Linked DNA regions of Tamandua tetradactyla. The protein of the gene in region 2 binds, or shares a complex with, the protein of the main gene of each other region. Links are inferred from orthologs where the notes say so. Each region holds a gene or a part of one and is shown on either strand. Other genes may lie near its edges.

Region 1 (7,871 bases), on a different chromosome or scaffold from region 2:
ACATGCTCCCATCTCAAATTTGAAGTCAGTTTACATACACACATTCATTTCCACCTCAGAGGAAGAAAGACTTGGGGACTCCACGAAGATTCCCAAGAAGACCAACTCATCTGGGCAGATTCCTATCGCCACCAACCTCCTGCACAAGAAGAGCCAGGCCTTCCTCCCACAGCGAGGATGAGCTGCATCCTTCCATTCCCCGGACACTAAGGACCGTTGGGCTAGTCCCCAGAGTTCAGCATTTCTGAGCACGGTAAGCTGGTTCTGACAACTAGCTACCCGAGGAGGAGCGTTCCTGATCGAAAAACGAAGGGACTGAGAGGGCTCTACGCGTCAAGCCGGCGAAGTAGCCAAGGGGAAGTCAGGTGGACCCCGCGCTCTAGGGTCCTCCCCAGGGATACCTCAGTCCTCCCTTGTCGGGGGCGGGGGGGTGTCGAGACTTCACGGCCGCTCCAGTCCCTCGGAAAGAACGCCGGTCCAGCAACCCTCCTCCCAGCCCAAGGGCTCCCAAGGGCTCACCTGGGAAAGGTTACGGGGTGGGGGGGATTACGAGTGCGGGGTGGGGGACGGGTGCAAAGGTCGAGAGGTACTGCAGGAGACCGGTAAAGCCCCTACTGGCAAGTAACTGGGGAGGGTGGGCTCGGTGAAGGAAGGAGGTCCGGAGAAGGCTGTGGAAAGAGGTCAATAGGGTGAGGTGGGGAAGCAGGGGGGGAGCGCTCCCGCGGGCAGATAACTGGAGAGGGGCGGGGGGTTCGAGTCCTAGCGGGCCGCCCTGCCTGCCAGGTGAGGGGGAGAAGGTCCGGAGATGGGTGTGGAGACGTGACTCAGGTAAAGTGAGGAGGCAGGTGGGTTGCGGTCCAGCGGGCAGGTAAGTGGAGAAGGGCGGGGGCTCGAGGGCCGCCCGCGGGCCGCCTCACCTGCCCAGCGCGCGCTTCATGCCCGCGTCGGCGGCGCCGCGCGGCTCCGCGGGCCCCGCTCCCGCCAGGCGCAGGTTCTGCTTCAGGCAGTAGTCGGCGTCCAGCGCCGCAGCGGCCGAGCCGGAGGACGCCGAGCCCGCGGCGGAGCAGCGCTCATGCTCCAAGGTGACAGGCTCGGTCCGCTTCCTCATCCCGCGACCGAAAGCCCGAGCCACCCAGGGCGCCCCCCGGCCCCACCGCCAGCTCCAGCCGCCACCGCCGCTCTGAGCCGCCGGCCTCACAGCCCAGCTCCAGGCCGTGGCGCCGGGATATGGGCTCCGCTGGAACCCGGCCCTCGCGCCGGCCAATCAGCGCCGGGCTCCCGCCGGCCCCGCCCTCTTCCCGCCCCCGGGCGGCGGGGAGAGCTTAGCAGCCCAGCGCCGACCCGCAGCCATCTTGGGGAAGGGCGGGCAAAGCCGCGGGCGCGCGTCACCGGCAGGGCGGGGCTGCGCCGTGGGTCCGCTGCCCTGCACCTGGCCTCAGGTCCAGCTAGGAGTCCCCGCAGAGCCCGAAGCCTGCTTCCCTAGCTACCACTTCAGCCCTGTGCCGGGTCCCCCAACATCGGGAACCAAATCTGAACACCACCCCCCACTCCCCCCGAAAGGTTAATAAATGTTAATGAGAACAGCAAATAGGTAGCTAGGTAGATAGAATGATATGGCAAAGGTGACAAGAGGTTAAAATTGGTAGAGCTGGGTTTTGGCGTGGGGGGTGTGTTGAAGCTCTCTGAGGTTTGTTTTATTTTTGCTACTGTCCTGTAAGTTTGACACTATTTCAAAATAAGTTTTTCTTCGTTTGTTTTTTACACGTTTACAAGAATAAAAAGAAAAGAGTAACAAACCACAGGGTTCCAATCATTGGCCACTTTTCTCACAGGACTTGATTTTTTAAATGTATGCTCCTTGTTAAATTTTTAAATTTGAAACATAAAGGTACAGATATTTCTTTTTTACTTTGGAGCTGAACATGCAGAAAATGAACAGTGTAAACGAATTACTTTTTAGAAATCAGTATTCGATTTTGGATTTTTATAAAGCAATTAGAACTAGCTGATGGGGTGGAGTTCAAAAATAAATTTCCACTTATGAAATCCAATTAACTACTAATTCAACCATCCTAGAAAAGAAGAAATAAGGGCAGTTTCATAAATTTAGTCTTATAGTTTTGGCTTTCTTTAGCACTGTATAGTTCATTGTGCATTATGACCCACAATCGAGAGATATATTTCTTTGTTTATTCCAAAGTAACTTTTCCAATTTTGACCTTTTTGTAAGTTTGAAAACTATTGGCATCTGGCATCTGGTAATTTAAGATCAATCAGAAATGCTTTTAGAAATAGCTTCTTACATTAGGTTTGCAATGATGCTGTGAAATTAGAAAAGAATTTCATTAACCATTTTAATAAATACCACAACCAGCATTCTTATTTGTGTGGATAGCTCCAAATACATTTTTTTAAAAAAAATTATGGACTCTAAATGGTGAATTCTTTAAAGTGATGTGGAATCACATACTGATTGGGAATTAAAATGTAAAAAATATTTGACCCTATCACTCATAAAGTCTCTTAAATTGAAAGACAAAAAAGCAAGGAGGGAGAAATGTAAGGGGAATTTAGTCTTTCTTGGTCCACACTTGCTGCCTGTGTTTTAAGCACTCAGGCTTTAAATGCCACCCCACACTGGTGACACCTACATTTATATCTCTAGATCACACCTCTTTCCTGAACTCCATGCTTCCTTATACAATGGTCTACTCATTTCTATTCTGATGTCCTTCAGGCACCTAAATTTACTACTCAGTTGAAAACTGGGATCCCCAATTCCACAACTTTCCCCACCTTGGATGGGCAGCTTCACCCTTGCAGTTCATCAGGCCAAAGCACCAGGGTCATCCTTGATGCCTCTTTTCCTAGGCCACAGGTTTTCTATCAGCAAGACTAGACAGCACTCCCTTCAAAGTGTATAGCAGACCCAAAGCTTTCTCACTACCTCCACCATCACCACCCTGGGCCAAGCTGTCATCACTTAACCTTTCATCTGGATTATTTTAATAGCTTCTCTGCCTCCGTGTTTGCCCTGTTTCGCCAATTCAGACACACAAACATCTTTTTTTAAAAAACCTTTTTTTAAACCTAGATCAGATCCTGTCACTTGTTTGCTCAAAACCCTTCAATAGCTCCCCATCTCACTCAAAATAAAACCAAAAGAAGTAGCCTACTGGGCCCTATCTGTTCTGGCCTCCAGCCCCTCCCTTATCTAAGCCACCAGTCTCCCCTCTTGGCCTACTTCAGCACTTGGCTTCCTGCTGTTCCTTGCACATCCCTCCTCAGGGCCTTTGCACTTGGATTGCTCCATATTGCTTCCTGCTGTTCCTCGCACATCCCTCCACAGGGCCTTTGCACTTGCATTGCTCCATATCTACATGGGTTACTCTCTACAGCCCTCGGGTCTTCTCCCAACACTTAGACTCAAAACCCTCAGACCCTCACACCATCACTGTTTACCTCCCTGGCTTATTATTATTCACACTTGTCATCAATATATATCATCAATAAATACTGGGCAAGGGCTTTGTTCACTGCTTTCAGTGTCTAGAAAAAATGGCACTTCCTAAATATTGGCTGAAGGAATGACTTAGTCATTAGAATCCCCCAAGGAGGGGGTTCTATCCCCATTTTACAAATAAGGAAGCAAGTCTTGGGGAAGTTCAGGGACTTTGCCTAAAGGCACAAATTAAGAAATTTATGGCAGAGGAGGAACGTGGAAAGTGGTGTTCGGACCACAGTCCTGCATTACATCCATGGTAGAATGTGGATGATAACACTTGGCTAAAGTATTCCTTACTGTAGGGCTGAGAAGGAAAAGCCAGTCCACATAAGGATAAAATTCAGAGGATTTGTCTTTAATCTGGCCATTTTTCAGTCGTATATCAAGTGTCTATAGTTGCAAAAGAGCAGTGGAATTTCTAGGGTTGGCTAGAAGTAATACTGCTTTTAAAAAAAAAAGCAGCGTAGTTAGTATACATTGTTTCTATAGCAGTGATTCCCTGTTGATTCTACATGGTTAAGAAACTTTCCATAGGTCATCTAGAAGAGAAAATGCTTTGTGGATTCGTGTAATTCTAGGGCACTTTTTCTCCCTCTAGAGACCTTGTGACAAGGACTGATTTACAAACAACTTTACTTGATTGCTTAAAAATAAAAAAAGTGCTACTGTTTTTATTTGGTTTGATAGTGGAAAGCTTAAAGTCAGTGTGACCCTGGGCAAGTTACCTAACTACTCTGCTTCTTAATAGCCTTAATAATCACCTTTAGGGATAATTATGAGAAATAAACTAAATAAATTTCAGTTCGTCGCACACATGAGGTTCTCAATGAAAGCTGGTTTCCCTTGACTATCAAACAAAAAACTCATGCTGTAAAAGTACACAAATGAAACGCTGCGTCACAGTATTAATGCAAGTTCTGAACCTTTCTTCTTCGTCCCAAAGGTCTAAACCTAAATGAAAATGAATGAGTCAAACGGCAAAAGGCGGAAAAGGGAAGGATGCGCGTTCCTCCAGCCCGAGCCGTGCTGCGAGAAGTTCTGTCTTTCCGAGCTCGTGGCGACCCGGAGCTTGCAGCGTAGAGGCCTCACCCCTCCCAGTGCACTGTCCTTTGGGGGCTGGCCCGCCAGCTCTGCTCCTCTTCAAGTGCAGATGCGCGGCGGAGGTAAATGTCCCTCTTCGGCCACCGTAGCCCGCGGACTAGCAGTGCTTTTCCATTGGTTGGTGTGTTTGGCGCCAAAAGGAGAAACGGAGTGGGAAGCCAGGGGCATAAGCTGAGGGAGAGATTGCAGCGCAGCGGTCGAGAGTCCGACGACTGTCTGGCGTGAGAGCGTTGTTGAAGAGGCTGGGGTGCGTCCGCCATGTTCTGCGAAAAAGCCATGGAGCTGGTCCGCGAGCTGTACCGGGCGTCCGAAGGGCAGTTGCCAGCGTTCAACGTGAGCTGGGCGGCCGGGAGGAGGTGACGGGGAGGGACGGGGAGGGGGCGGGGCTGAGGCAGAGGGGCGGGGCGGCTTCCTCGGGGTCCTCTCCTGCGTCTCCCTTACGAATTTTACTTTACCCCTGTACTAGCTCCAAAGTCGGGAAGAGAAATTTGGGACAAAGCAGGAAAAAACGCGGGAGGGAAAAAAAAAACATTCATGCTTATACTTCCAGCGATGTGATGAATCTGTCATATGAACATATTTCCTTTAGTGTTTTTCTAAGCTTAGCTGTATTGTCTGATAGTCTAGCATTTTTCCGGAATCGGACTGCGAAGTGTGGTGATTAAAAGCTAGGCCTCTGGATTAGGCTGGGATTTTTGGTTCCGTTGTGTGGTTTAGGCACTGTTACTCAAGCTTTCTGTGCTCGAAGTTTTCTTAGCACAGAAATAGGATGATGAGGATAATCCTAGCGCCCAGCCCCCGGGGAGGGAGGATTCGCAGTTTGTGTGTGATGCGCTCTGAACAATGCTTGGCAAACGGTAGGGGCCGTTTGCTACTAATTTTATTTCTATTTCTACTCCTGCTATTAGGATTATTCTTACTTCTCTGTTAACTACTACTGTGTGCCTCACAGGGAGTTAAGCACTCGACTTCTGTTATCCTTATTCTCATGATAAACCTTTGAGATATAAACTGTTGTTTTTTTTTTTCTCCAGGTATATAAAAGGAGGCTTGGGGAGTTGAAGTAACTTGCACTGGTGAGGTAGCCAGGAAGGAGTAAACTTAGGATTTGAACCCTGGCAGCCTGGCTCCAGAGCCTAATTCTGAATCCTATGCTAGACTGTTTCCACTGTCTTAGCACAGTGACCTGTAGATGCCAGGGCACATTCTACTGAGAGAGGGATATGAAAACAGGTAAACAATGCGGTGTGGTAAGTGATAACTTCGAGGTGTAGACAAGGAGCACAAAGGAGAAATGCCAGTGTGAGGTGAGGTCCAGGAGGGGCATTGGAGTCATGTCTGGAAGGATGAGTTCACCACTCCCAGCCAAAGGGCACTGTAGTGCAAAGACACATGATCACAGCTAGGAAAGGTGCCTGAGAGAGGGTATGTGGGGGACAACACAGGTTAGCTCAGAGGAGTCCAGTCATATGCACAGAGTAAGGAGTAGAGGGTTTTAGGCAGGGCTGTGATGGGGTCATTTTTGTGTTTTGAAGTAACTATAGCTGCAGTGTGAAGAGTGGATTGGAAAGAAAGAATAAAGGCAGAGCAATGGATTAGTAGGCTGTTATAGTATACCAGGTGGAAAACATGCATGGTGTGAACTGTGTCAGGGCCATGAGCACTAGAGTGGGTTATGGAGACTTGGAACAAATAGGATTTGTAACTCTTAGGATGAGGTAGAGATGGGGTGGGTGATGCATGGGCAGGGAAATCAGGGAGGTTTCTTTTAGCATACAAGGCCATCAGTCAACATAGGTAGAGATCATGAGAAAGAGTGTTTGGGAAAGGTGATGAATTTAAGTTTGAACGTTAAAGATCACCTACTGTGACAAGTCATTTTACGGATGAGAAGACTGAGCCAAGAGAAATTATGAATTCAGGGATGTGTCTATTCTTCCAGCATATTGGAGGCAGTCTCAATTTGAATACTGGATTCTGTTCTTTCAACTTCAGAAGAGCTACATAATTTAAAAAGTTAGGTGAGGGTGGTACAGTGGTGGCTCAGCAGCAGAATTCTCGCCTGCCATGCCAAAGACCCAGGTTCAATTCCCAGTGTCTGCCCATGTAAAAAAAAAAAAATGTTAGGTGACATCAGGGGAAAGTTCAGAAGAGAGGTGTGCTGGGTATGGGAGCTCTAAGATATGGCTCCACAATGGGGTCAAAGATCTAGGATCCTGGGAGGAAACAGGCCAAGGGGACAGAGTGACTTGTCCAAACAGGCAGTGGCCAACCTGGCTTTGGACCCGGCCCTGGAGACCTTGAGCCCAGCATCTTTTCACTCCAAAAGCATTTTAAGATGTCTGTTGGTTTACCACTAAGACCTTGGGGGCCAAGGTCTTAGGAACTGTGAAAGCAGTCCTTTTAGATGTTACTGGGAATGCCTTTTGTATCCTTTGTCTTGTTAGTGCCTTCCTGGACAACCTACCTGGTAGTCAGTGTGACTCAGCAGATCCAGGATTGACCTGAGGGCCAACAAGGGTTTCAGGAATCCTGGCCCCAAGGAAGTGATAGCTGGGAGGGCTCCTCTGCCTTGTTCATTCCAGGATTGCACAGGGTGAGGGCTGTGTTCAGCAAGTTAAAACCATTATCCTCTTTCTATGTCCAGAACTGTGGTGATTGAGTTTCTAGGAAAATGATCTTGGGCACCCAGGGGCAGCACAGAACAGATGTAATTCCCACTAAAGATAAAAATTCAAACCTGAAAGTGTTTGTATTTTATGAAATTATTTCTCACTTGGATTTTATATACCTGCAGATCTCTTAATTGTACAAGAATTTTCAATTTCAAGTAGTACTTGCTGTATTAAGGAGAATGTTTAACTGAAAACAGATAAATCAGACTTTTTCATAATTTTTTCTTTACCAGCTGATGAAAGTGAAGGTGGAAGCATGCTTATATTTTCCACAAAGAATTGTCTTTTTTTGTATTTGAGCAAGGTTTATATAGTTGGTTTTGTAATTATATCAGTAATACCAAAGCATTTTTGGCTAACACAGGTATTTTGGCTCTAAAAGTAAATTAGGAAAAATAGACAGGTTACTTTTCTTTGGATTGTTGACAAACCTATTATATAACATTTATGAATTTTAGGATGCTTATGCTTTATCCTTCTAAGGTAAATGTAAAAAAAGAAATTGCCCCAAGGTAAATATTAGGAAAACCTTTGTTCTGTTCTTGCAGTGCAAACCAATACACTGTGCCTTTTAAGACCATCTTTTTAGT
Region 2 (7,989 bases):
TCATCAAGTTATCTGTGCCACTCTGAATCTGCTGTGTACCCCAGAAAAGCCAAGTTCTTTAATCCTCATTCAATATTGCCAGGTGGGAGCTTTTTGATCGTTTCCATGGCAATATCACCCACCCAACTGTGGGTGGTAACTTCTGATTAGATGGTTTCCATGGACTGTGTTCCCACCCATTCAAGGTGGGGTTGCTTATTGGAGCCATTTAAGAGGGAAACATTTTGGGAAAAGCATTAGAGCCCACATACCTAGAGACTTTTGGAGACGAAGAAAAATGCCCCTGGGGGAGCTTCATGAAACAAAAAACCTGGAGAGAAAGTTAGCAGATGTCACCATGTTTTTCCATGTGCCTTTCCAACTGAGAGAGAAACCCTGAACATCATCAGCATTCTTGAACCAAGGTGTCTTTCTCTGGATGCCTTAGATTGGACATTTACACAGACTTGCCTTAATTTGGACATTTCCACTGCCTTAGAACTGCTAACTTGCAACTTAATAAATTCCCCTTTTTAAAAACTGTTTTGTTTCTGGTATATCGCATTCTGGCAGCTTGTAAACTTGAACGGTATCTTTCTCGGGATGCCTTAATTTGAGCATTTTCACGGCCTCAGAACTGTAAACCTGCAACTTAATAAAAAAAATTCCCCCTTTTAAAAGCTGTCCCGTTTCTGGTATATTGCATTCTGGTAGCTTACAAACTAACACAGCAGCAAAGAATGAAGAATACTAAAGTAACAAACACGAAAGAGCTCTGGAAAAGGGCAGTTAAAGGGAGAAGAAAAGAGGGAATAAGGCAATAGGTATAATGGCTTAACACCATGTTTTGGAGTCAAAGAGACCTGAGCTCCTATCTTGGCTCGGCTGCCAGCTGTGTGACCTTAGGCAGGTTACTTTACATCTCTAAGCTTTAGTTTCCTCAACTTTAAAATGGGGTAACAGTAATACCTGCCTGACAGGGTTGTTTTGAGGGTTATTACTACTAATAGCTAACGTTTAATGAGTGCTTATTATAGCCAGACAACAAGCTAGGCACTTTACATATCTCATTTACTTTATCTTATTTAATCTTCCTAACTACGTGAAGTAGCTGCTATTATTACATCCATTTTACAGTCAAGGAAAGGCTTGAGACAAGCTATATAACTTGTTTAAGGTTAAATAATAGGTCAAAGACATAGAGGTATTTAAATCCAGACCCTGAACTCTAAAAATGCCTGCCTGATGAATTGTAAAGAACATAATGCAATTCCTAGAAAGAACACAGGATGTACCCAACAAACCACAATTATGACTAAAACGATAGTCTAGAAATTACTTTAGGACTTTGTGCTGGTTTGGAACTGTTGCGTACTCCATAAAAGCCATGCTCCTTTAATCTAATCTTGTGGGTGCAGACTTATTATGGGCAGGATCTTTTGGTTAGATTATTTCCATGGAGATGTGACCCCCATAAGGTGGGTTTTTAATTAGCTTACTAGAGTCCTTTAAGAGAACATTTTGGAGAAAGCTCAACTACAGATGCTGGGAGATGGTGAGAGAGCTGTTTGAAACCAGAAGCCCAAAGAGAAGGACATTGCCATGTGCCTTCCCATGTGACAGAGAAATCCCAGACTTGATTGACCTTTCTTGTGTGAAGGTATCCTCTTATTGGTGTCTTAATTTGGATATTTTCATAGCCTTAGAATTGTAACTTGTAACTTAATAAATCCCTTTTATAAAAGCCAATCCATTTCTGGTATATTGCACTCAGGCAGCTTTAGCAAATTGAAACAGACTTTTAGACAATTTAGTGTAAATAAAGAGAACAGTTGACTCAAGAAGATACTTCGAATGAAAATGAAGAGTAAGACCAGTTTCCTTCTTAAAAAAAGGTGTTTTGACACTTTCTTGCTAATCCAGTAAATGCTTCAAAGGATTAAGATAGGGGAGCCTACAAGTCTCTACCACAACATGTCTGCAGTCCTCCCAAAATATGAAATACATTCTTGTTCTCTGCACTGTTCTATTAAATGTGCCCAAAGCTGTCCCTTACTGACTCCACTGGATAACTCTGCATTTGACATTATGGGATTTCTAATAGAGGATATTCCTCTATTTCTGTGTAGAGGTAAGATCCAGCTTTTATTCTTCTGAAATAAAGTAAGTCTTGAATTCTATTTCTTTACTTTCTAAGTCTGTAATTAGTATAGTTAGACTAACTAAAAAGGCTAAGATTGAAGCAAGGGGATTTTATTTGGAATGCTTACCTGCTCCAGCCTTTCAATGAGTTCTGCAGGAGTTAGGACGACTTCCTCACTACCATCAGAATCCTGTCCCATGAGATCCAGTTCCTCTGTCATTTTCACTGAAACCAGGAACCTAACGAACATAAACGAACCAACACATTGTGTGCGCAATGTGTTTTCCATTTATTTACCATACAGTGCAACTGTATCTGGAGAAGGGAAAGGGTTACAAGGGATTGCAGAGATTCAACAGTAGTGGCTAGAGAATTCACAGACTTGGATTTTTCAATTCTTTGCCTCTTCCTTCAAAGCTTAGGTCAGAGAATAAGTTTCTCAAAGAGGTAGCCCCTCGTATCTGTTCCCGCTGTGTATACCTGGAACTGAGCACCTATCACACCATAAAATAATTATTGTTTTGTTTGGTCTTCCCGATAGATCTCCTTGTCATCAAGGGCTGTGCTTACCTCAGGTCAAATATGAACTGCGCTTGTGCTCACTGCCTGGCACTTATAAGTTGTGGGAGACAACAACGCGTGCAGGTACGGAGTTTAGTTCATGGCAAGTACTTAAAATCGTTGGGGAATAAATCAATGCTCGATTTTCGCCAGGCCCAGGGGCGCCGACCAGTCACTGACCCCAAAGGCTTGAGAAAGCTGTGTGGTGCGCGGCGGGGGGGGAGCCGCGGGGATTCTCAGGGAAACTGAGGGCCTACTCCTCCCGTCCCGCCCCTCTCGCTGCGGAGAACCCAGAGCAGCACTTCCCCCTACGCACGCAGCTCGCGCAGTACCTCAGGGCCCACTCGGACACGCAGTCGCGGACTGGGCGGCAGATAGGCACTCCAAAGTAGCGAGCGGTCAGAACGGGAAATCGCGGGGAGGCAGCCCAGGTTCTTCCACACAGAATCTGGGAACGGAACCACAGCTGAGCAACGCGCACGAGGCCTTTCCGGGACGTAGCAACTCTCCCGGGTTTTCGGCTCCCGCGCACGTCTCGAAAACACTCCGGGCAGGTACAACGTCACCGCGTACGGAAGGCGCTAAACCAATCAGAGTTCGGGAGAAGGGACAGGCAGCGTTCTTGACCCCGCCCAATATAAAGGGGCGGGTCTTGCGTATGCGCAGTTCACTCTCAGAATCTTCCCACTCCGAATAAGGGCGATGGGAGGCTGGTTCGGCGTTAGCTCCGCCCACCTGGGCTGCTGTTCCGTGTGCGGTTCCTGCGGTACAGTACGAGGGCTGTCGGGAGGGGGCGCCTTGCCACCGCTCTTCCGAGATGCGGCGCTGTCTGCCTTCGGGCCACCAGGGAGCAAGCGTCTGCATATACCTTGGACCAGCAGTGGGTCCGATGGAGAAGTGTGTTGTGCTAGTTTTAGGCCATAGCCTCTTGTTTCATCTTTTCCACTGACCTCTCTTGTAGGGCTTCAGCTACGACCATTAATCCCAGTTCTTCTTCTTTTTTTTTTTTTTTTTTTTGGCATGGGCAGGCGCCGGGAATCGAGCCCGCGTCTCCGGCATGGCAGGTGAGAATTCTGCCACTGAGCCACTGTCGCACTGCCCTCTCCTTTTTTTTTTATGAGAAAAATTTTGTGTGTGTGTGAAAAATAACATATGTACAAAAAAGCAATAAATCTCAAAACACACTGCCACAATTAGATATAAAACAGATTTCAGAGTTTGGTATGGTTTATAGTTCCACAATTTTAGGTTTTTCTTTCTAGCTACTCCGAGACACTGGAAACTAAAAGAAATATCAATATAATGACTCCACAGTCATACTCATTTGCTAAATCCTATCTTCTCTGTATAACTCCACCATCACCTTTGATCTTTCTCCCTGTTTTCAGGGGTATTTAGACTGTGCCCATGCTAACTTTTAAATGTTGGAAAGGGCTGTCAATAATATGGGGTAGGGGGATGGAACTAGTTGATGTTCTGGAGAGGCTGGCCCCTCTTAACCCCAGCTCCTCTAAAAACCTTTAGACTACTGGTTCCCAAAGTGTGTTCCCACACTTCAAGCAACAACGTATTCTGGGAATTTACTAGAAATACAAGTTCTCAAGCCCACCCAGACCTACTCAATCAGAAGCTCTGGGAATAGGACACAACACACTATTTTAACAAACTCTTCAGGTGATCATGATGCAGGTGAAGTTTGAGAACCACTGCTTTAGGCAATTTGCTTCCAGCCTTGCTACTACATCAGGTGTTTGCTTAATTCTCTAGGTTATTTTGACTTAGGCTGCTTATAATTTCTGCTCTTACTGCAGGGGGAACAACAAGGACATAAGGATATCGATATAGGTATTTTTTCTTTGTGAGATGTCAGCTTTTTGGTCTCTGAATTGCTGATGCTCTCCTTTGTTTTCTGTGTAAAGTATCACTCTGGATTCTCTATAAATATTTCTTCCCCATCAGTCTGAAGCTTCTTTTCTTTGTGATGATTCATGTGCCATACTGATTTATTAGGGAAAAAAGTTGACCAATTGACAGGTTGCTAGAACCCACCTGATTACAGTCCTTTTATAAACAATAATTACATAGAATATTCCAAGTGAAAGAGTGGGCATATTTACCAAGGGAAATTCCCAAAAGAAAGGGGTATTTGGGCCACATCTTGAAGAACGAGTTTTGTTAATGACAAATAGACTTTTCAAGGTTCGTTTAAACTCTACTTTGGTAATCCAGCACGTTTTAGTTGTGTCAGATTGCATTTTCCATAGAGAGCTGCCCTAAGATATATCTCATCCCATGTGGTCCTCTTACAATGTGATGTTGACACTCCTCCATTAGAAGGTGAAGTCCATCTTTTTTTCCTCTTATATCTGGGAAGACCTTTGTAATTGCCTTGACCAAGAGAATGTGGCAGGAGTGATACTGCTTGAGTACTAAGGCACTCTCATAAGGGTGATACAACTTCCACCCTGCTCTCCTTTTCTTGAACCATGTCCCTTGAGAGCCGTGAGCTGACATGTGAGAAGTCTGGCTACCCTGAAGCTCCCATGCTGGAAAGAGCATGTAGAGAGGCCACAGCGAGACAGAGAAGAGCTCAGCAGCCCCAGTGTTTCCATTCCCCGGTTGTCTCAGTGAATGAGCTTTCAGATGGTTCTCAGACCTAGAGCTACCAGGGCTAACATGGAGAGAAGCAGAGATGAGCTGTCCCTGCCGAACCCTGCCCAGACTACTGATTTGTGAGTAAAAACAAATATTTGCATTAAATGTTGGGGTGGTTTGTTTTGCAGCATTAGATTACTGTGCACAATTCCATTCTTCCATAATTATCATTACCACATAGTTATTCAGTGTTTTTTTATTAATATTCTTTAAGTGTTATAGATTTGAGGCCAAGTATTCTCATATTTACTCTGGCACAGATAACTTCTACACGGAAGTACCAATAGTTTACTGATTTAGGGACTTCCTTCTCTAGTGCTAACCTGACTTTTCTAATCTCCTCCTGCTCTTCTATTAGGGAGCTAGAGTCTGGCCTCTGCTTCTTTAATTCTGATTAGTTCCAAAGAATTCTGCTGGAGGATAGAGTACATATTTGTATTGGTTTGTGAAAGCTGCCAGAATGCAATATACCAGAAAAGAAATAAAGAGAATTTATTATGTTACAAGTTTACAATTCTAAGGCAATGAAAATATCCAAATTAAGGCATCAACAAGCGGTTACCTTCACTCGAGAAAGGCTAATGCTGTCCAGAACAGCTGTGAGCTGGGAAGTCACGTGCTGACATCTGCTGATGCCTTGCTCCTGGGCTCTTTTGCTTTCCGACTGTTCCTGTGGGTTTCCTCACTTGGCTTCTCTGGGGCTAGGTTTCATCTTTTGGCTTCCCGTGACTCTTTCTAGGTTCTGGCTTGCTTGGCACCTCTTGAAGGCACATGATGACATCTGCTGGGCTCTGCCCATGTCTCAGCATCTGCTCTCGCTGTCGGCACTCCAAGGATCTCCAAACATCCGTGTTTCTGTCAGCTCTGAAGCACCTCTTCTCCAAGCATCTGTATCTGAGCTTTCTCCAAAATGTTTCCCCTTTTAAAGGGCTCTCGTAAACTAATCAAGACCCAGCTTGAATGGGTGGAGTCACATCTCCATCTAGTCAAAAAGCTACACCCACAATTGGGTGTGTCACATGTCTATGGAAGTAATCAAAGCAACAGATCATACCGTAAACGGTAGGTCTGGCCCCACAAGATTGGATCAGTATTGGAACTTGGATACAAAATAGTTTCACATTGGCACAATATTCTTGCGAGAAGTAGGGAGGATACTGAGGTGCTGGTATGGTTTTAGTCCTCTTGCTGAGAAGTTAGTGCTGTTAATTTTCTTTTAGTTTGGGACTTCCATCCTTGCACTCTCTCTCTCTTTTTTTCCCTTGCATTCTCTTTGCTTCAGTCATGTTGAACTACTTAAAGATATGAGGTATTTTGCCTCCTTTCTTTATACCTGTTGTTTCCTCCTTCTGAATTTTTTTCTTTCCATTTATCTACCCAGTGCACTCTTATTCATCCTTTAAGACCCATTTAAAGTATCTCTTCCTCCGAAAACCATCCCTAACACATCTTCCCCCACCTTTGGTCACCATTATACCTTATAAGATTCTGATAAAACATTTATTATGCTCTATTGCAATTTTAACATGTCTTTCTCACATTAGACTGTGAATTCCCTGAAGGTAACCCCCAAACTTGCGGAGTGCTCATCATTCTTTCATTCATTCATTCATTCATTTCTTCATTCAACAAATGCTTTTGAGGATCTGCTTTGCCAGACATTGTGTTGGAGCTAAGGATAAAGCAGTGAATGGGAAACACACACCCTGGGATGGAAGACAGACAATAAACAAATAACAATTGTTTGTCAAATGGAGGTAAAACGCGATGTAGAAAAACAAATCCAGTAAATGATAGAGAATGTTGAGGATGGGGACATTTTAGAATATGGTTCTAAAGATGTTTGGGGCAGCTTTCCCTGAGGAGGTGACATTGATCATAGTTTGCTAAAAGAATGAATAAGTCCCAAGACAGCTAACGTGACACCCTGTGAGGAAGCAATACAAAAAACTATACTGTCATTTGCTCCTTGCAGAATATACAATGATCATGAATTTTCTCTCTCTTTTATTTTATCATCGATATACTGTTGCCAACATAGTTAGCAGATTGAGTAAAATAATCTTTTCTAAGTTTCTGGATTGGGGTCAAAGAGAAATGTGACATTTCCATCAAGAAATTCATTTGCCTTTACGTCATGGCCGTAAAAGGCTCATTTGTCTAAGTGCCGGCATGTCTTCATGCTTATTAGAGTCCATACACTTTATTTTGGAGAATTGTCCTTAGTTCCAAAGATAAACCTGACCAAACTCAGTATTTCTAAATGCTTACAGCTTAGGGTAATGCTCTTTTCTAAAATGTAGTCATAGGAAAAGTTTTGAATTTTTTCAAGCACGAAAGTGTAGCCTTGCTCAAGAATGTACCCTGTAACAAAATTTATTTTTCCACCTTTATTAATTTTAGTGTCTTTAAAAGTATTACATGGACACTATTTTGAGAATTTCATATAACTAATGGAATGGGTCATCCTATTTTAGACTAAAGTTTATTGAAATAGTATTTCCCTGTGGGGGCAACCCTTAGAATACAATTCATATCTGTGCCAGTTTGAAAGGATGTATATACCCTAGAAAAGCCATTTTTTAATCCTAATCCCATTTTGTAAAGGCAGCCATTTCTTCTAATCCCTATTCAATACTGTATGTTGGAGA
Region 3 (7,437 bases), on a different chromosome or scaffold from region 2:
CTGTCCATTGATGAGAGTGGGGAATTGAAGTCTCCAACTATTATGGTAGATGTGTCTATTTCTCTTTTCAATGTTTGCCTCATGTATTTTGGAGGATTCTAGTTCAGTGCATAAATATTTATGATTGTTATGTCTTCTTGTTGAATTTTTCCTTTTATTAATACATAGTGTCCTTCTTTGTCTCTTTAACTGTTTTACATTTGAAGTCTAATTTGTTGGATATTAGTATAGGTACTCCTGCTCTTTTCTGATTGTTATTTGCATTAAATATCTTTTCCCGACCTTTCACTTTCAACCTATGCTTATCCTATGCTTATGTCTAAGATGCATTTCCTGTAGACATCATATAGATGGGTCCTATTTTTTAATACATTCTGCCAGTCTTTGTCTTTTGATTGGGGAGTTTAATCCATTAACATTTAGTGTTATTACTGTAAGGGCAGTACTTTCTTCTACCATTTTGCTTTTTGGATTTTATATGTTATATCTAATTTTCCTTCTTCTTACCTTTACTCATAGTCTTCCTTTCTACACTCTTCTCCACACCTCTTTCTTTTCTGTTTTCATATCTGTCTCTAGTGCCCCCTTTAGTATTTCTTGCAGAGCTGGTCTCTTGGTCACAAATTCTCTCAGTGATTTTTTGTCTGAAAATGTTTCAATTTCTCCCTCATTTTTGAAGGACAATTTTACTGGATATAGAATTGTTGGTTGGCAGTTTTTCTCTTTTTGTAATTTAAATGTATCATCCCACTGTCTTCTTGCCTCCATGGCTACTGCTGTCAAATCTACACATAGCCTTATTGGGTTTCCCTTGCATGTAATGAATTGCTTTTCTCTTGCTGCTTTCAAGATTCTTTCTTTTTGACATCTGACATCTTGATTAGTAAGTATCTTGGAGTATGTCTATTTGGATCTATTCTGTTTTGGGTATGCTGCACTTCTTGGATCTGTACTTTTAAGTCTTTCATAAGAGTTGGGAAATTTTCAGTGATAATTTCCTCCATTAGTTTTTCTCTTCTTTTTCCCTTCTCTTTTCCTTCTGGGACATCCACAACACATATATTCACATGCTTCATGTTGTCATTCAATTCTCTGAGTCCCTGCTCATATTTTTCCATTCTTTCCCCTATATTTTCTTTTGCTTGTTGGATTTTTAGATGTCCCATCTTCCAGTTCACTAATCCTATCTTCTGCCTCTTGAAATCTGACATTGTAGATTTCCATTGCTTTTGTTTATCTCTTACTGTATCTTTCATTCCCGTAAATTCTGTGATTTATTTTTTCCAGATTTTCGATTTCTTCCTTTTGTTCATTCCTTGCCTTCTTTATATCCTCTCTCAATTCACTGATTTGATTTTTGATGAGGTTTTCCATGTCTGTTTGAACATTCTGAATTGTTTCAACTCCTGTATCTCATTTGAATTGTTGGTTTGTTTCTTTGACTGGGCCATATCTTCAATTTTCCTAGCATGATTCGTTATTTTTTGCTGGCATCTAGGCATTTAATTACCTTAATTAATTTATTCTGGAGATTGTTTTCACTTTTTTTTTACCTAGGATTTTCTTGCTGGATGACTTTGTTGTCTATCTGTTCTTTGACATTCAGTTCAGCTTATTCTGGACCTCTAGCTTAGGTTTTGTTGTCAGAATTTTTCAGTTCTTATTCTCTTGTTTCTTGCCCTGCCTGTATGGTGCCTTTTTTTCTCCCCTTACTATGGTCTACTTAGGTATTATAGAGCCCAGCCAGATTTTCCCAGACCAAACTGACCTCCTGTCAGGAGGAAAGAGTCATCTTCATCAGTTTTTCCTGAGGGTGAGACCCAGCAGATTGAAAGGTTTTCCTATGAAGTCTCTGGGCTCTCTGATTTTCCTATCCTGCCCAGTACATGGCGCTTGTCTGCCTATGGGTCCCACCAGAATAAGGTGTTGCGGTATCTTTAACTTCAGCAGACTCTCCCTGCTGGGGGCGTGGTGGAGACAGAGGAGAGGTTGTAGACCGGTTTTAATCGCTTCAGTTTTCCAGACCCTGGGGTCTGAATTCCTTGAGGGAGGGATTCCATCTGAGCTGGGCCCCACCCCTCTCTTGGGGAAGGTACAGGCTCCAGACAAACACTCAAACCAGCTTAATTCTGCCTCTGCTTGGGGCAGTGGAGCCCAAGAAGCCTTGCAGCTGTATCCAAAGAGCAGTCAAACCATAGACACACAGCCACCAAAATGGAAGAGAAAATTCCTTTTCAGAGCAAGATCCCCATTCCTAGGGTTTGCCAATCAAGAGCTTAAGTTGGCACGTTGCTCTGTGTATCTCCAGGTCCCATATGCCCCCTCCTTTCCTTCAGGGCCCAGACCTTTCAAATCCAAAAACAGCTATTCTTTTTTTCTCTTTTTCTGTCAGCCCTGCCCCCTCTGAGCGGGGGCAAAAACCAGCAACCTCTGCTTTTACTCAAGGTTCAACTGAGCTGGGGGCCTATTTTTAGTAGTCAGAATTTGTGAATTAATTCCACAATTGGAATTTGGTTGTGCTCAGCCCCTGGTGCTCACAAAGTCCCTTTCCTTTCCCCTCTGGGAAGTAGCATGTGGGGGAGGGGCGCCAGCCACTGCGGTTTGGGGAACTTACGGTTCTGGGTGGCCTGGGGAACTCTCGGTTCTGGAGTGCTCACAGCCGGTCCAGCTGGTCCAGACTGGGGTACACTGTGTGTCCGGTCACTGACGTGGCCCCAGCAGTTGTTCTGTACTGTTCCTGGCTATTTATTAGCTGCTCTGGAGGACGAACTAAATCCCACACCTTGGTAAGCCGCCATCTTGGCCCCCTTCTCAAGAAAAATGTGTTTAGTATCAAAGATTTATTCTCTAGAATCCAATTCCTTTGGGCTTTCCACCACTAACGAGTTGATATTTTTGCTTCTTTGAACTAGACTGGTTCTTGGTTCTTCTGGTGTTAATTTTGAAGCTGTGTTTCCAGAGCGAAGAACATTGTATTGCCTTCAATATATTCATAAAATGACAATTATGAATAAGTCATAAAGACATTTTAAATAATAATGACCTTTTACTAGATAATGGTAAACAAGATCCTCATTGTAGAAATTTTTTTTTTCTTCTTGCCTGTTAAGCTGTTGGATGCAAAAAGCAAGCAGCCAGGCATGGCTTTTTTTTTTTTTTTTTTTGATTCAGGTTCATGTGGTTACCTGCTCACCATCCTGGAGATTTTCAAAGGTAAGTTAAAAACCAGTTGGTTGAAATTTTAACTGTAGAATTGCCAGGTGTCTTATATTGGGCAATCTGTTATTTTATTTTCCTGTGAACTTTTTGGCGCAACGGAAATGGAAATGTTGTTTATAGTGAACTGGGTCATAGTTACATACATACGTACATTGTGTAAACATTTATTGAGCTGTAAACTTAAGATCTGTGTATTCTACTGTATATAAATTATATCTGAAAAATAAAATTAACCAAACCACAAGAGAGAACAACAAAAACAAAACAAAACAAAAAAACTTTGACATTCAATTGTTATAATAATTTTACCCTCAGATTTGGTATTCTTAATCACCCATTGATATTTAACAGTGGCTTGAAATACTTGGTTTTTGTTTCTCCTTGTATTTGTTTACCTGTTAAATTAAGCTACTTAAAAGAATCTTGTGATCTTTCATAAAGTGAAAAAGCCTTTTGTGATTTACTAATTTTATCCTCTAATTTATCCTTTCACAAGTAAGATGACTGAGTAATTATGTCCAAAATTTTGTTGAATAAGACATGAGGTTTTTGCTTGGGAGCTGGAGGATATACAGAAAGTTTTTCTTCAACTCCACCCTTCTTGACGGCCTAGCATGATTATGGGGTACTTCAGGTATCGGTAATCTGATCAAAAACAGGTATAAACTAAATAACATTTCTCTGAGATGCTATGATTCTATTTTCCATTTCACAGATTCTTAAAAACACACTGCTTCCCGCCTCCCGCCCCAGATACTACTTGAGGGATGTTGCATCTGAAACATATCTAGCATACTTAATTTGTATACATTTTTAAAAGGATTTGCTTTTATGTTTTTCACCCTCCTGCATTTTAACCGCCCGTTTTCTGGCTATTCTCAACGAAAGACCCACAGAGTAGACCAAATCCATGGTTACATTGGATCACTCTGCGGCAAGCCAAGGTACCGCAGCCTGCAAAGAACCTCCTGAACATCCGGAAAGATAAAACTACGACTCCCAGAATGCAGCGCACCCCGCCTCTCCGGCTGCCCAATTACTAGGCTCCGTGGGCTCTCTCTTCATCCCATTGGCCAGCTCTCCCGGCGGGGAAGCGGGGCGGGGAGGGGAGAAATATAGAGAGTCCCGGATGGCGTATTTCCCGCCACCGCGAGGCGCTGCGTGGAAAGCCGGGAGAAGAAAAGCTGCCGATTGGATATTCGGTGTTCCGGTTTACGAGGAAGCAGCTAATTAGAGTGCGTATTTCACCCAGAGTCTCCGCCCCTTCCTCGAGGTACTCTTTGGTGGCGGGAAAAGCTCGGAAGTTTTCGTGCCGCCGCGGAGTCTACCAAGGGTCCTACACGCGGCTCTAGGGTAGGCGATTCCGAGGCAGCGAGCATGGCCGGGACTGTCGTGCTTGACGATGTGGAGCTGCGGGAGGCGCAGAGAGATTACCTGGACTTCTTGGATGATGAGGTGAGGAAGGTGAGGGAGGTGCGGGCGCTCGAGGCCCTGGTGTTCGGACCCCCGGGGACGGCGGGCGGGCTGAATGGTCGCGCGGGATGCCGCTCTTTCCGAAGCAGCGACAGAGCCCGGCAGCGAGAGGCCGGTCAGTTCTCCCTACTCTGACTGGCTGACTCGCTTTGCCGACGGCCGGCTGAGGAGCCTTCCGCCCGAACGTGTAACTCCTCGCTGTGAAATCAGTTGCTAATTGCCTCTCTCTAGTTGAATCTTTAGAGAGCCGTCTGGTAACTTTCTCCCCAATACAAGTAATAGTCAGGTCTCGCAAATGGCGACAGGCTTCCTTCAAGTGCAAACAAAATGTCAGCGTCCCCCTGGCCTTTTCGAAATTACGTCCTGCTCTTTTTGGGGGACAGGGTGGGAGAGGGAATATAGGTGAGAATCCATGGTGTTCGTCAACGTCTTACCACTGGGAGGAAAAGACCTTTCTAATTTGGCCGCATTCTTTTTCAGTTCCCAGTAACATGAAGATTAGGGGGTTTTGTATGCCACCCAAGATGTAAAACTATAGAATGTTGAAAGGTTGATGCTTTATCTGTAAACAAATGTCACCTTCTTCAGGCCTTCCTTTAGGTCCAGATATGAGAATTCTATATTATTACATACAAGATTGGGAAATGAAATACTTTGATTATATACGTAATTTTTAGATAAAAAGGCATTTTAATATATATTAAAAGTTCATTTACTTTACATTTTAATAAGGTTTTTATTTATTCTTTTAGTCTTCGTTTGAGCTCATTTTAATTCCCCACTAAAGCATACAGAAATATTTAATAAGTTGTTGTTGATATTAGGAATAATAGCATGGACCGTTATCCTTGAGAAAATTGTTATAATTCCTATAGTGTTGCAAATAGGCATTTTTGGAATCTGAGGCCAGGAATGAAAATGGGAGAAATTGATGAATGGATACTGGGGTTCAGCACTGCCTCAGAAATTGACTTGCTTATCTCGCTATGACAACTACCTTTGTTTTAAAATATCTTATTTTTACATTTGTGGTTGTGCTGATGTGTGGTGACTATTTTGCAGGAAGACCAGGGAGTTTATCAGGGCAAAGTTCGGGAGCTGATCAGTGACAACCACTACCGGCTGATTGTTAATGTGAATGACCTGCGTAGGAAAAATGAGAAGAGGGCTAATCGGTAAGTGGCAGGGGAATCGCAGGAAGATAACCCTCTTCCCCATGTCTGAACATGTCTCCCTTCCCAGGAGAGGACCCAGATGAAAAGTGATTGACTTAGGAGCCCTCATAGCCTCACCTGCTCCTATATTGTTGTTGTTTCTTCTTTCAAATGTAGGTGGTAACTATTTTCCTCTCATGTGCATCTCCTTCCAATGTTTAACTAGGTATCATTTCTACATCTTTGACAAGTTGAAACAAACATGACCCTTAGTTCTAATGTTATTATACTGAGTCTTGTAGGATGACAAGAGAAAGTAAGAACTGGATTTCCACTCCTTGGTCTTGACTTGGTCTTGATGGTCCAAGAATGTCCAATTCCTTTTCCAGGGTCACCTTTTTGGAGTTCTGTCCTCTCTGCCTAATTACTCTTTTTTTTGCCCATATGCAGCCTCCTGAGCAATGCCTTTGAGGAGCTGGTTGCCTTCCAGCGGGCCTTAAAGGATTTTGTGGCCTCCATTGATGCTACCTATGCCAAGCAGTATGAGGAATTCTACATAGGATTGGAGGGAAGCTTTGGCTCTAAGCATGTCTCTCCCCGTACTCTCACCTCCTGCTTCCTCAGCTGTGTTGTCTGTGTAGAGGGCATTGTCACTAAATGTGAGTGGGTTAAAGTGGGGACTGAGGGAATGCTATACTTCACAGGGCTGGAAAAGCCAAAAAAGGCAAAGTAAAACTGGGTAGCTTGTGGCTTCAGAAAGGTGAATGATTGAGATTATGGGTGAAATTTGGAGGAGTTCAGAGTGCGCATAGTGATTAGGGTGGAATCAGTTGTACTTAACATTTTACATAGATATGGTGATGTTCTAGATATAAATGCGAAAATGAGTATATGATAGGTAGTATCGAAAAAACTTAAACTAGTCAGAACCCAGTATTTGTAGTCATTGTAGGCTTGCCTGTGTTCATATTACATCTCTATCATTGTCTAATTGGATGATTTTAAATGCATGTTTCTCTTCCTAGGCTCTCTAGTTCGTCCCAAAGTGGTCCGCAGTGTCCACTACTGTCCTGCTACCAAGAAGACTATAGAACGGCGTTATTCTGACCTCACTACCCTGGTGGCCTTTCCATCCAGTTCTGTCTATCCCACTAAAGTGAGTGGAATGAATCAATAGGGCTTCTTTGGGGGTTGAAATCAGAAGTGCTTGCTAGCATACGAGTAATTGGGTAACATCTGAAATCTTGTAGAAGTAGATGAAGTGAATAAATAGTAAGGATTAATCCAAAGAAAAAGTTAATTATTGGCCAGAGTTTAATATGGAAAATTCATAATTCTTATATTTTAAAAAAGAATAAATATTTATTTTAAAAGATTGGGGAAATTGTGGAAGAGTTATAAGAAGGGAGAAAAATAATTCATTCTGCATAGATCTTTTAAAAAAAATTAAAATCTTATGTATCTCTTGTAATATGCTTTAAACTGAACATAGGAAAATACTTATAATATTACTATAAAATCTTTGCACATGTCATTTTACTGCATATATAATAGTCTGTCACACAACAAATATACCACTTTGTTAAGGTTG

The links. Proteins that work in one complex are often made in the same cells at the same time.
Region 1: the proteins of GINS4 (region 2) and GINS1 are in contact, whole or in part, in a crystal structure (PDB 2E9X), measured with the Homo sapiens proteins. The link is inferred for Tamandua tetradactyla from reciprocal best matches to the Homo sapiens genes GINS4 and GINS1. Residues at the interface, in NP_115712.1 of Homo sapiens: Met55, Glu59, Glu83, Arg84, Arg86, Tyr87, Leu89, Ser90, Leu93, Arg94, Leu97, Glu101, Phe104, Glu125, Glu126, Phe129, Glu132, Phe133, Asn136, Thr137, Tyr140, Leu141, Val144, Ala145, Leu146, His148, Met149, Pro150, Pro151, Asn152; in NP_066545.3 of Homo sapiens: Phe24, Leu29, Leu33, Met36, Tyr40, Leu69, Leu70, Arg73, Thr76, Val77, Leu80, Tyr81, Leu84, Arg88, Trp92, Glu109, Glu110, Trp113, Asn116, Tyr117, Ser120, Leu121, Tyr124, Ser127, Leu128, Gly129, Gly130, Asp131, Leu134, Ile136.
Region 3: GINS4 (region 2) and MCM3 share a complex: the UniProt entries of both Homo sapiens proteins name them as parts of the CMG helicase complex. The link is inferred for Tamandua tetradactyla from reciprocal best matches to the Homo sapiens genes GINS4 and MCM3.

What each region holds. Positions count from the first base shown.
Region 1 is NC_135327.1:34,681,835-34,689,705, reverse strand, and holds the start of GINS1 (DNA replication complex GINS protein PSF1), read left to right. Parts: upstream 1-4,740; 5' UTR 4,741-4,864; coding exon 4,865-4,939; intron 4,940-7,871. Other genes in the region: lysophosphatidylserine lipase ABHD12, read right to left, coding at 918-1,108. UniProt on the Homo sapiens protein: Required for correct functioning of the GINS complex, a complex that plays an essential role in the initiation of DNA replication, and progression of DNA replication forks.
Region 2 is NC_135329.1:17,019,041-17,027,029, reverse strand, and holds the start of GINS4 (DNA replication complex GINS protein SLD5), read right to left. Parts: upstream 3,246-7,989; 5' UTR 3,016-3,245; intron 2,362-3,015; 5' UTR 2,343-2,361; coding exon 2,250-2,342; intron 1-2,249. UniProt on the Homo sapiens protein: Required for correct functioning of the GINS complex, a complex that plays an essential role in the initiation of DNA replication, and progression of DNA replication forks.
Region 3 is NC_135331.1:110,769,853-110,777,289, reverse strand, and holds the start of MCM3 (DNA replication licensing factor MCM3), read left to right. Parts: upstream 1-4,306; 5' UTR 4,307-4,596; coding exon 4,597-4,674; intron 4,675-5,754; coding exon 5,755-5,867; intron 5,868-6,296; coding exon 6,297-6,505; intron 6,506-6,871; coding exon 6,872-7,002; intron 7,003-7,437. UniProt on the Homo sapiens protein: Acts as a component of the MCM2-7 complex (MCM complex) which is the replicative helicase essential for 'once per cell cycle' DNA replication initiation and elongation in eukaryotic cells.